3 linked regions of the Rattus norvegicus genome follow. The protein of the gene in region 3 interacts with the protein of the main gene of each other region in a biochemical or structural test. Links are inferred from orthologs where the notes say so. Each region holds a gene or a part of one and is shown on either strand. Other genes may lie near its edges.

Region 1 (3,652 bases), about 41 Mb from region 3:
ACTTAACTATATTTTAAATATTTCTGAAACAATTATTTTACTCATGTTAACATTTCAAGTCAACCAATCAAAAGCTCTATAAAAGCGAACCTCTAGGAAGCAAGAATCCAGGATTTCCACATGCTGGGAATGAAAGGAGTCTATTCTCTAATGTTAAGTCACTGAGTTTTTGTCTGGGATTGAGCAGGCGAGTGGGAGAGAAAAGACAATGTGTGTGTGTGTGTGTGTGTGTGTGTGTGTGTGTGTGAGAGAGAGAGAGAGAGAGAGAGAGAGAGAGAGAGAGAGCGCGCAAGCAAGGGACAAGAACCTGAAGTATGTTCCATTATTTATATTCCCTAGTTGTAGGATAGGCAGTTTAATTTATGAATATCCTAAAGTAAAATGCTTGACTTTCCCCTTAAACTATGAGTATCACTGATGAACTCTGACTCCAATCTAAAGCAATCTCAACTTAATACAAGTCACTTTGGGACTTAGATACATCAAGGGTCAGAAAGCATAGCTTATAGGCTGGCAAGAAGGCTGCACACAAAGCCCTGAGTCACATGTAACTCTGTCTACAGCATGCTGTTTTCTCACCAACACTTGAAAATGCAACATGCACACATCACCAACTGGTATTTGGAATATAGTCCGGATCTTTAATCTGAATTCTCCGGATCAAAGAGGTAGAACTCTTACCCATCCTGCCTCAGACTGGCCATCATCAGCATCACCCAGGCAAACAAGGAAGGCAAAAAAAAAAAAAAAAAAAAAAAAAAAGCAAGCAGAGTTCAAGGAAGAGGAGAAGAAGCCCCTAAGGATATCAGAAGAAGGTAAAATAGAGTAGGACCACACACTGCTATATCACTAAGACCCTACACCTCATCCCCCACTTCAAGTCAGGTCAAAAACTTATACATAGGACACAAGAGCCTGTGTAGAATATTAATAAGGGAAGACAGGAGAGTACTTAGACACTCTCTCTCAGGCTGCAGTGTTACACCTGCAGGCCTCTGGTAGAAAGCAGATACGTTCCTATTACTGATACTACTGTTCCTTCAAAGATTATGCCCTTACAAGTCTTAAAAAGGGCATTCTAGAGATTTAATGGCTCTGGAACCACACTGAATACACTGAACACAGGTATTTTGAAACCTTTTTAAAATCTGGCTATAGTTTTATTTGAACTTCATTCCCATGAACTGTAATCTGAACTATTATAAATGTATGGGTAGGAAAAAGATGCTAATTAGTTAAAAAAAAACAAAAACAAAAACAAAAACCAGCACCAGCACCAGCACCAGCACCACAAAAAACCCCAAACAAACAACAAACTCATTTTCCACAGGTCCATGCAGACTGAGTGGGCCTCAGGTTTTACTTCTATTGTTTGATGTCAGCTTATTATAACTGTCCTACATCAGAAGATGAAGCTTATAAACACAGGCCTGTGCGACTCCAGGTGCCTACCACTACTCCAGGTGCACCCCTGCGCAGGATTGCTCTGGTCACGTGAGCACAGGACGGCAATACTAAGTCTCAGGTAGTTAAATTTTAGCCTTTAACCTTCTCTCCAACGTAGGCTTCATTATCCCCTTCCCCCACACCTTATTTTAGACCATGGAACCGTCTGATGTCCAAATGTAAGATGACAATTATAAATTTTAGAGAGGGTAAAAATCTCGAGGCCAAGACTGAGATGCCTGAAGAAAAATGTAGAGGACAAGAACGGTTAGGGACAGACAGGAGGTGCAGACCGCTCGGAAGAGTCAATATTACTAGCACTTAGGGCTGACCTAGTATCATAAAACTAGGTGACTGGCAACTTTATAAATGGCTCCACTTTTCTTTTTATAGAGGGCATTTTCAGGGAGGCGACATTTGTTACTGGAGAATACTGCATGTTCAACATGGTAACCTCCAGCCTAAACTGTACACTGTAACTACAGCTTATCAATACTAGTTTTTCAGTTAAGAAATGTAACACAGGGGTTGGGGATTTAGCTCAGTGGTAGAGCGCTTGCCTAGCAAGCGCAAGGCCCTGGGTTCGGTCCCCAGCTCCGAAAAAAAGAAAAAAGAAGAAAAAGCAGAAGAAGAAGAAAAAGAAAAAAAAAGAAAAAAGAAATGTAACACAATTATCTTGAAACCATGAGAAAGAGAAAGGGTATGTAGTGCCTTCTGTACTTTATGATCAAATTTTCTGTGTCATATAGATTTCTCTAACAAAGTGTGTTTTTAAAAAAGGCTAAGCTTTAGATAACAGCAATACATCAAAATTAAACCAAACCAAACCAAACCAAACGGCTGCGTAAAGCAAAGCCCTTAAGCAAGTGGTGGAGAGGCGGTGGAGAGGCGGTGGAGAGGTGGTGGAGAAGTGGTGGAGAGGCGGTGGAGAGGCAGCGTACCTGCACCTTTCCGGAGAGTCCTCCCGGTCTTTCCTCCGGAACTTGCTGATGGTGTCGTCGATTGTGCTCCCGATCTTGTCGCTCAGCTCCCCTAGCTTGTCACTGAATGGAAACGCACTCTTGTTCTTATCCCACTCTTCGTCCCATTTGGACTTGGGCTCAGGGTCATACCGTTCATCTGTGTAAACAACGAAGAAAAACAACTGAGGATATTAAATCTGGAAGGTTCCAGTGTCCTTCCTTCTCCTAAGAAAATTATTTTTAAGGGAAAACGAATCTCCCACAGTGCCACACAAACACAACATGGTGCAGCCCATGCCAATCAAAAGCCTGTCTTCAGGTAACTTCACAGCCTTGATGGACAGGACAGATCTGAAGCCCTTGAACACTGCTACAGGAGTAGATACAGAAGCCATTCTATAAACACAAGACAAATGAACATCTTTCCAGTTTTCTAAAGTCATCCAATGAGTTCAATGACTATTTTATTCTTATCTTAATGGTTCTTCATTTTTAGACAAATATAAGCCAATGACAATATCTTAAACAGAAAGTAAGGCTATGTGCTGTGGTCCATGCCTATAACCCCTGTGTTCAGGAGATGGAGGCAGAGAGTGCAAGTTCTAGGGCAGCCCAGGCTCTGCACAAGTGGATGTGCGTCCAACAAACAAACAACAGAGAAAGGCAAGAAAGCGAGTTTGGGGGTGCAGAGAGAAGGGAGAAGGGGAGGGGAATAAGGCTGAAGGAGTGAGCACACACACAGAGCAAGCTAGCAAGACATGACGGTAAACTACACCAGAGCGAAGCTCAGTGATCATTTGAGAGCAAGAGTCCAAAGCTATGCAGTGCAGCACAACACAATGAGATCACCATCTCAGTAACAGGTGAAAGAGGAAGGAAGGGCAGACAGACGCATGGACCCAAAGGAGGAGGAGGGAAGGAAATTGACTGACTAACTAACCACTTAAGCACTGTTTCCCTAAAAGAACTCTGGTCTGAGCCCCATGACCCAGTTAGCTGAAAGGACCACATCCTTTAGTACCAAGAATGCAAATGAATGGAGTGAGGCATGGGAAGAATCCTGTAATTTTATTAAAAAAAATTCTAATTCTCCAAATCTTCACACTTTAGAACTATAAATGCTCTGAGCAGCTCCGACTTGGTGCTGGTGCATCAGAGAACCTCTGTGTGAGTCTGGAGTAAAGAAAAGACTGCAGCCCGGATGTAGATCGCTCCTGAGAGACACAGCCAGAATACAGCAAATA
Region 2 (3,652 bases), about 3.9 Mb from region 3:
CTGCAAACGTGAGGCTGGATTGCATATGACCAAGACTACAAATTACAGTAAATTATTCTTTATAGAAGGGCTGGGCTTGATTGTGATCATTACTGCATCTTTGACAAGATGATTACTGTATATTTTCATTAAGTTTAGAAATCAAAGGAAGCTGGGAGGTGTGTGTGTGTGTGTGTGTGTGTGTGTGTGTGTGTGTGTGTACGATGTGTAACATAATGTGTATATTATATATTACATGTATACATATACATATTATATACATAATTCGAAACATAGTACAGTATTACAAATGCCCAGATAAAAAATATGTATGTCAGTATGTGGCATGACTATGAGTGCATAAGACAAGATTTTGAGAAAAAAAAGTAGATATAGGGTTGGGGATTTAGCTCAGTGGTAGAGCGCTTGCCTAGCAAGCGCAAGGCCCTGGGTTTGGTCCACAGCTCCAAAAAAAAAAAAAGTAGATATAAAGAATTTAGGCTCTGGAAAAACATACATATGGCATTATATGTTATATATAATATAGACATTGATATATATTGTGTAATATATATGATATATATCATATACACATATGTATGCATACCATATATATCATAATGGTTATATATGTATATGTATATATATATATATATATCATATATATTAGATTCTATTAACAAGTTTTCCAGCTACAGAGTTCAAAGTTCTTCAGAGAGTAACTGTTGAGAGAACTCTTTGCCCGACCGTCCCTGGGCTCATACCCTCAGGAGCTCTATGTCTTCATGGTTTTCGGAGCCAGGAGTGTTCTCCATCAATATGGCTGTCATCACTTTCACGTTCATTTTCACCATGTCCAGTTCACTGTGCAGTTTCCCGATCTGTGAAGGGCAATGCAACCTCCAGTCACTAAGCGTCACACAAAGACCACAGCTGGCTACCTTGCTTCCTGCCTACAGGACAAATGCTAGAATACCAAATGCCTTTGTAAAAATGTAATGTTTGCAAGCCTACTGACGTTGATCTCGGCAAACATATAATTATTTTACAAATTGTACCCTGTTGTTTTCTGAATAGACTTGGTTATGTCTTATAAGAAACCAGGGCTATGCCTCGGGAGAGTTAAAGATGCAGAAACAAAATGACCTGGACCACTATGAATAAAACAAAAATACCTAGTAGCAGAAGTTAATAGGAACCCGGAGAAAATGAGAAACATTGTCTCACATACTAGCCTGAGTTCCTGGCAAAGCATCAGAAAAGCAAAGGAAGGAGGTAGTGTTGTGGAATGATCACAGTATTCACGGTATTATAGAAAGATGAAAGTGAACCGTTTTGAAATGGTTTAAATTCTAGGAGGAAGAAATTACATGGCTTTTAATGTAAGAAATACTTAATATTAATATAAAGAACTCAATTAGCGTAAAGACTTCAAGGATAGCCTTTTAATGCAAAGATATTAATGAGCATTGTTAATTACATTTATCTAGATCTCTTATAAGTGGAGACTAAGGAGAAAACGCAATTCCTTTGGTACAATTAACATAGGTAATAAGACAACTTGCCATTGGGCGCTCTGAAGTGAAAACAGAACAAAACAAAAACCAACCAACGAACCAACCAAACAAAACCCAACCCACCATCCAAACAGACAAAAAGCCAGGAGTCGGTGGGTGGCCCTCAGACCTAGTTCACAGCGTTTACTGGTCAACATTCTTTTCTTAAAAACATTTGTACTTATTTGTGTGTGTGTGTGTGTGTGTGTGTGTGTGTGTGCGTGCGTGTGAAGTCACAGGATAGTGTTTGGTGTCTGGTTCTCTCCCCACCGTGTGGGTTCTAGGCACACATTCGACTTTGATCATCAGGCTTGATGGAAGGCAGCTTTACCTGCTGAACAGTCTCTCCGCTCCCAAGCACAATTTTTAAATGTGTGAGCCTTCAATTCAGATTAAACTCCGTAGGCTAACTCTGCATAGAGACAAACCACGAGGACACTTTCTCCCTACGCGGCAGTCTCTCCTCCCACAGGAAAAGAAGTGGACACATAAGCACGCAGCCTATGCCTGCCACCCCAACGTATGGAAGGCAGAAGCAGGGGCATTATCAAGAGTTGTGGGCCGGTCTGGGGCACGTAGTGAGTTCGAGGCCAGAGACAGCTACTCAGAAGGTACCTTGTCTCAGAAATCAAAATAAAGATGCTGATTAACCGAGGGCCGGGTTACGTTATAGTAACCCGTCATAACGCCATTAAGGAAATGCAAATTGTAAATCCAATGCTTAGAAAACGTGAATAAACAGTGCTGTCTCTGTTACCTGTTCAGGGACTAAGGAAATAGTCGGGTTCTTGGGAGCAATTATAGAAGAAAGAGCAGGCGCAGTGGGGACAGATGTCGGTCGACTTGGTGAGATCTGACCAGCCTATCAATATAAAATAAAGAAAGAGTATGACACGAATTATCAAAGCCACCGCAAGCCTGGCTCCCATTCAGCTGACTCAGGCATTCATTAAAAAGTCCTGGGGAGTTGGTTTTAGCTCGAAGTTGATCATTGGGAGCACAGCATATCCAGTATTTAGAGAAGACCGCTAAGCAAATGGTAGGCTGTCACGTAACAGGCCTTATTAACGAAATGACTATCCAAAAAAGTCCTCTTGGTTTTCACCAAGGCACTGTATCATGAACCGCCATGCCATTCGAGATTATAGTTCTCCCTTTCCCCTGTTGCTAAAGCACCTTTAATCCCAGCACTTGGGAGGCAGAGGCAGGCAGATCTCTGTGAGCTCGGGGCCAGCCTGGTCTACAGAGTAAGGCCCAGGACAGCCAGGACTACACAGAGAAGAATCTGTCTCAAAACAAACAAACAAAACCCCAAACAAACAAGGAAATAAACAAATAAACAATGAAAAGGGCAAATCAACTCATGCAGTCTTTTTAACTCTCCCACCAAGCTCTCAAGGCATTTCCTCCAGCAGTGAATTGCTTCCTCGATCAGATCTGGTCCTCAACTGTAACTGGATAGCCACAGCTGCAAATCATGACCATGTTGTTTTAGGTCACTGCTTTTCGATATATTGTCAATGTGCGTAGAAACACCAGAACCTTTTTAGAAGGAAGATTCTAGCATAGTATAACACCCTATGGTTAACAAACTACCAGATTATGCCTCAAACGGCACTGTGATTGGCAAAGCCTAAACCCAGGTATTATCCCATGAGATATAACCATATACTAATAAATTCATCTTTCTGCTAAACTGATTAAAGGTTATCCCTTTCAATATGAAAAGGACCTAAACAATGTATATTATTTTACATGGGGCTAAGAAAACCTCCTACCTCCTGTTTTGTCTCAGGCTCTCCATCCAAGGGTGGGAATTGAACCCCTTTCTTCAGCAGGTCGAGGTACACTTCCTTCACTTCACTGACATCTACACCTCCCGGGAAGCCCTGGGACCACATCTAAATGCAAGAGATATCAAGTTCCAGAATGAAAAAAAAAAAAAAAACCCAAAAAACAAAACCATAGCAAGAACCAACACATCTTAAAGCGTATGATGGGAAATGAGTAACTGAAAATTGTGTACTTAATTCAGAGTGAAAAACCTAGTCTTGAATGTTGTGCCCATTTCCAAAGGCTAGAATAATATTATAAAGTATTTTGAATCACCAGACTCC
Region 3 (3,752 bases):
TCGCTAATGAATGCTGCAGATACCTTAGTGCTGTAGTCAGGCAAGGTGCTCCGGTTTTGAAGAGCTTACACTGCCCACTTTGCTACTACAGGCAATGATCCTACTAACGTGTATGACCAACAGTCAATCCCTCCGCTCCAAGAAAGCCCTCGAGGTTTCTTTCACCATCCATCCTTTGATCTAAACCTTTAAAGATTTTCAGGTTGCCGAACACTCCCAACTCTCAAAGGCCAAACTAATCTCTACATTAGGCTGGTGTAAGTCCACCAAAATGTCCGCGGAAGCTCTCTCCAGGGCCAGCAGGAGACACTTCTCACATGGCCTTCACTGTCCTTTGAGATGGTTTATCTGAGGCACTCGAGAGCCATCCGGCTCTCCTGGCGTCAGAAGGGCGTGCGTCAGGGCAGGGAGGCTTGCAGCTCAGCACGATCCCCCCTCCCTGAGGTGTCAGCAACCACCCACTGCGTGAAACCGGGCGGGGGAGGCGCGCCGCAGTCAGCCGCCCAAAGAGCGCTGCGGCGGGGCCGTTTTCCCTTAGTCACCGCGGCGCCGACGCCGCGGCCTTCTCCTCAGGCACTCGGTGTCCTCACGCCCCGGTCGCCACGCCGGCAGGGGGCTCAACGGCCACCTCAACCCCAGGAGCAGCGGCCAGTCCCTAACTCTCGCCCTCCACTCTGGCAGCCGTCAACCGACCCTTCCCTACCCGCATCACGTGCACCTGGAAGTGCGTGGGTGGGTCCTACAGCGCCTACGGAAATGACGTAGTTCGCCCCGAGTCGCATGATGTGGCAAAATGTTAAAAAAAAAAAAAAGGTGGGGGGGAGGGGAGGAGGGAGAAACCGGAGCCTGGGGAAAGTGATGAGTCTAGAAAAAGTAGTCCCTCGGTTCCTCTGTTTCCCCGCTGCCGCATCAGCGAAGAGCGATCCGCGCACTGCGTCCCTGAATTCCTACGCCTGTCCGCTGCACGGGGTTCGTGGAAGGCTACATAAGGCGGACAGGGTGAGGAGGCTGGGCGGAGTTCTGCCCCGGGATCCTTCCGCAGGGCTCAGCCGTTTCCGGAGTCTGCGCTGCTCCCGGTTCCGCCATTGCGGCTCTCCCGGCCCTTGGAGCCTCCGCCCCCGACCCAAGCTCTCTCGTCTGCCTGCCAGTTCCCTACGTCCCCGGAGAGTATTCCTCTGAGCCCAACCTCCCCCTCCCTTCCCCTTCTCCTCCTCTCCCTTGGAGAGCCCGGGCAGGCACTGCCCTGCAGCCCCAGTGACAGGAGGAGACCATACTCCCCGACAGCGCCATGGCCCAGATTCTGCCAATTCGCTTTCAGGAGCATCTCCAGGTGCGTGTTAGTCGGGGCTGCTGAGGGACTTTTCGAGGGTATTGGGAAGGAAGCTAGCGGCCCGGCCCGAAGGGGATCGAGAGAACGGGAGTGGGGGGGTGTCGGTATTTGGCATTGATGGAGGAAGGACACTGTCTTAAAAGCTTAAAGGGTTAAACGATATGAGACTAGGATGGAAATGACGAATCGGAGTGCAAAGGGCGGCGAGGCCAGGCCTTACGTCTGACGGCCTCTTATTTCTGCTTCCTGGATTGCAAGAACTGCGCATACCAGACCCCCCTTCCCATTTTACTCAGTTCATTCATTTGGGTAGGGGCTAGGTGGGGGAGCTTCTCGCGCGTTTCTCCCAGAGCAAGAATTCTCGTTAACTCCGGGCGATGCAGGGCTGTCACCTTCCCTTGGTCTATTCCGATTTCCACATCGAGTCTGCACCCAGGAATTGTGTGGCGGGTGGGTTGGGGAGGAGCTGCATCTTCGCTCTGCAGCTCACAGCTGAGAAAGGCACCTTGGGGTTAGGGTAGCAGTGGCTTGTGTCTTGCCTTCCCTGAATCTGTAAAGAACCGAAGGTCACACTCACTGAAGGAACAGAAAGAAGATAGAGGGGCGGCTAGGGGCGGTGTCAGTCTCAGGGTGCCTGGGGTCAAGGTCCCAAGGGGAACGCGCATATTTTTCCTTTCTTGGTTTCTTCAAGGGTTAGTGTAGTTCTAAGACTCACTTTGATTCTTGTAGGTAGGGAGAGTTATTTAGAGGTTATTTATGGTCTTTTGGAATCTAGCAGGTAGTTGTGGGATTAAGGCAGGAGTATGTCTCACAGGACTGTGTGGAATTCAACAGAGCCTGGAGTGCTGTAAATGCATACCTGCTCTGAGACAGTACCTGACAAGTTGATCTATAACTGGCTTCTTTTTAATAGGCTGGGGTGCCCCCCTCCCCCCACTGCACCTTATCCTGGAGTCAATACACCATTGTCTAACCTGGCACCATGCCAGCAGTTGGCCTAGGCAGGTGACCATTGGAGGGCTTCGCTGAATTAAGCTTCTTCTGAACTGCTGCTTTTCCTGGTTCTCTTGTCCTGACTCTTTAACATCATAATTTATTCATAATAATTTACTTCCCCCCAAATATCCCCATAAAGAAATCTGCTTTCAGCTTCATCTTTTGAAGGGCTAATTTCATGAGGGAAGGTGTAACGATCCAGTTCAAATATTGGTAACTTATTGAGTGCTTTATCATTGAAGGCAATCTGATTTACTGTTCTCCGTTGATACACGTAAAAGATGTTTGATAATAAACAGGGTTAACTAAAATTCAGCTACAAGTAAAATAATTAAATATTTCTTTATAGACTTTTACCGTGTTGCTTACATTAAAAAATTATTTTACTTTAGGACTTTAAATGTAAATGATAATAGACCTTTGCCCATAAAATGAGCTAAATACACTTTCTTCAGTCATCACTAGTTTTCAAATAATTCACCTGATTTTGGCAATAAGATCTCTATTTTGCAAAAGTCTGAAAAATGTCAAGTGACAATCCTGACAGAGAAGTTAATTTTGTCCTCAATTCAAGCTTGTTTGAGTTTCCTCTGTTAAGAAAATAAAGAGTTAGGAAGGCACTGTTCTGGATGCTAGCGGACAGTGTGCTGACCTCTTCAAGCTGAGCTAAGAGGGAGGCAGCCTGTGTACATTAACGAAAAAAAAAAAACTAGCTTTAATTAATTGCTTGCTTTAATTAATTTGGCCATGAATTGGATTGCTGTTTTCTCTCCTCCCATCTTTGGAATTAACCCTTGTCCACACTGAAGTTTATCAGAAATAGCCTTCTGCAAATATGTATATAAACCATATTCAAGAGAAGCAAAGACAGCTGCTGATCACATGATCATTGTTGATTTGAGTAATAGTGTTTCATTTCTGTTAAACACGAGACCAGAATTGTTGAATGGTCTACAGACTGGAATCCAAACTTGTCACTAATTAAAAACAAATTTAATGCAGGTGTGGCATGTGAGTAACAATTTCTGCAAATACTTGAAACTGTTTTCCTAAATTTGGAGATTTTGAATATTTATAAAATAGCTTTACAAGTGTTCTTGAAGATCTCTGTCTGTTCTTTGGAGGACCATGTTACACTTTAAGCTTTGGCTGGTAGGATTCCACTCCAGTAGATGGTGATCAGTTTCGTCAAAAGGGCAAATCACCATCTTTTCCAAGATAATGTATTCTCCTGATCTCAGATTTTTCCCCCCTCGGAGCTGGGGACCGAACCCAGGGCCTTGCGCTTGCTAGGCAAGTGCTCTACCACTGAGCTAAATCTCCAACCCCCTGATCTCAGATTTTTATCCCTCTCTTAACACTTCAGTGTAAGGAGTGTTTCAGTTGTCATCTTAAGTCTTTGATTTCCAAGCCTCTGCCATTCTGC

Evidence for each region.
Region 1: the proteins of Cltc (region 3) and Clint1 form a complex in vitro, tested with the Homo sapiens proteins (2 studies listed by BioGRID). The link is inferred for Rattus norvegicus from reciprocal best matches to the Homo sapiens genes CLTC and CLINT1.
Region 2: the proteins of Cltc (region 3) and Tom1l1 form a complex in vitro, tested with the Homo sapiens proteins (2 studies listed by BioGRID and IntAct). The link is inferred for Rattus norvegicus from reciprocal best matches to the Homo sapiens genes CLTC and TOM1L1.

The regions. Positions count from the first base shown.
Region 1 is NC_086028.1:30,834,360-30,838,011, reverse strand, and holds part of Clint1 (clathrin interactor 1), read right to left. Parts: intron 2,566-3,652; coding exon 2,388-2,565; intron 1-2,387. UniProt on the Homo sapiens protein: Binds to membranes enriched in phosphatidylinositol 4,5-bisphosphate (PtdIns(4,5)P2). May have a role in transport via clathrin-coated vesicles from the trans-Golgi network to endosomes. Stimulates clathrin assembly.
Region 2 is NC_086028.1:75,988,274-75,991,925, forward strand, and holds part of Tom1l1 (TOM1-like protein 1), read right to left. Parts: intron 3,437-3,652; coding exon 3,314-3,436; intron 2,398-3,313; coding exon 2,293-2,397; intron 861-2,292; coding exon 744-860; intron 1-743. UniProt on the Homo sapiens protein: Probable adapter protein involved in signaling pathways. Interacts with the SH2 and SH3 domains of various signaling proteins when it is phosphorylated. May promote FYN activation, possibly by disrupting intramolecular SH3-dependent interactions.
Region 3 is NC_086028.1:72,068,130-72,071,881, reverse strand, and holds the start of Cltc (clathrin heavy chain 1), read left to right. Parts: upstream 1-1,190; 5' UTR 1,191-1,288; coding exon 1,289-1,330; intron 1,331-3,752. UniProt on the Homo sapiens protein: Clathrin is the major protein of the polyhedral coat of coated pits and vesicles. Two different adapter protein complexes link the clathrin lattice either to the plasma membrane or to the trans-Golgi network.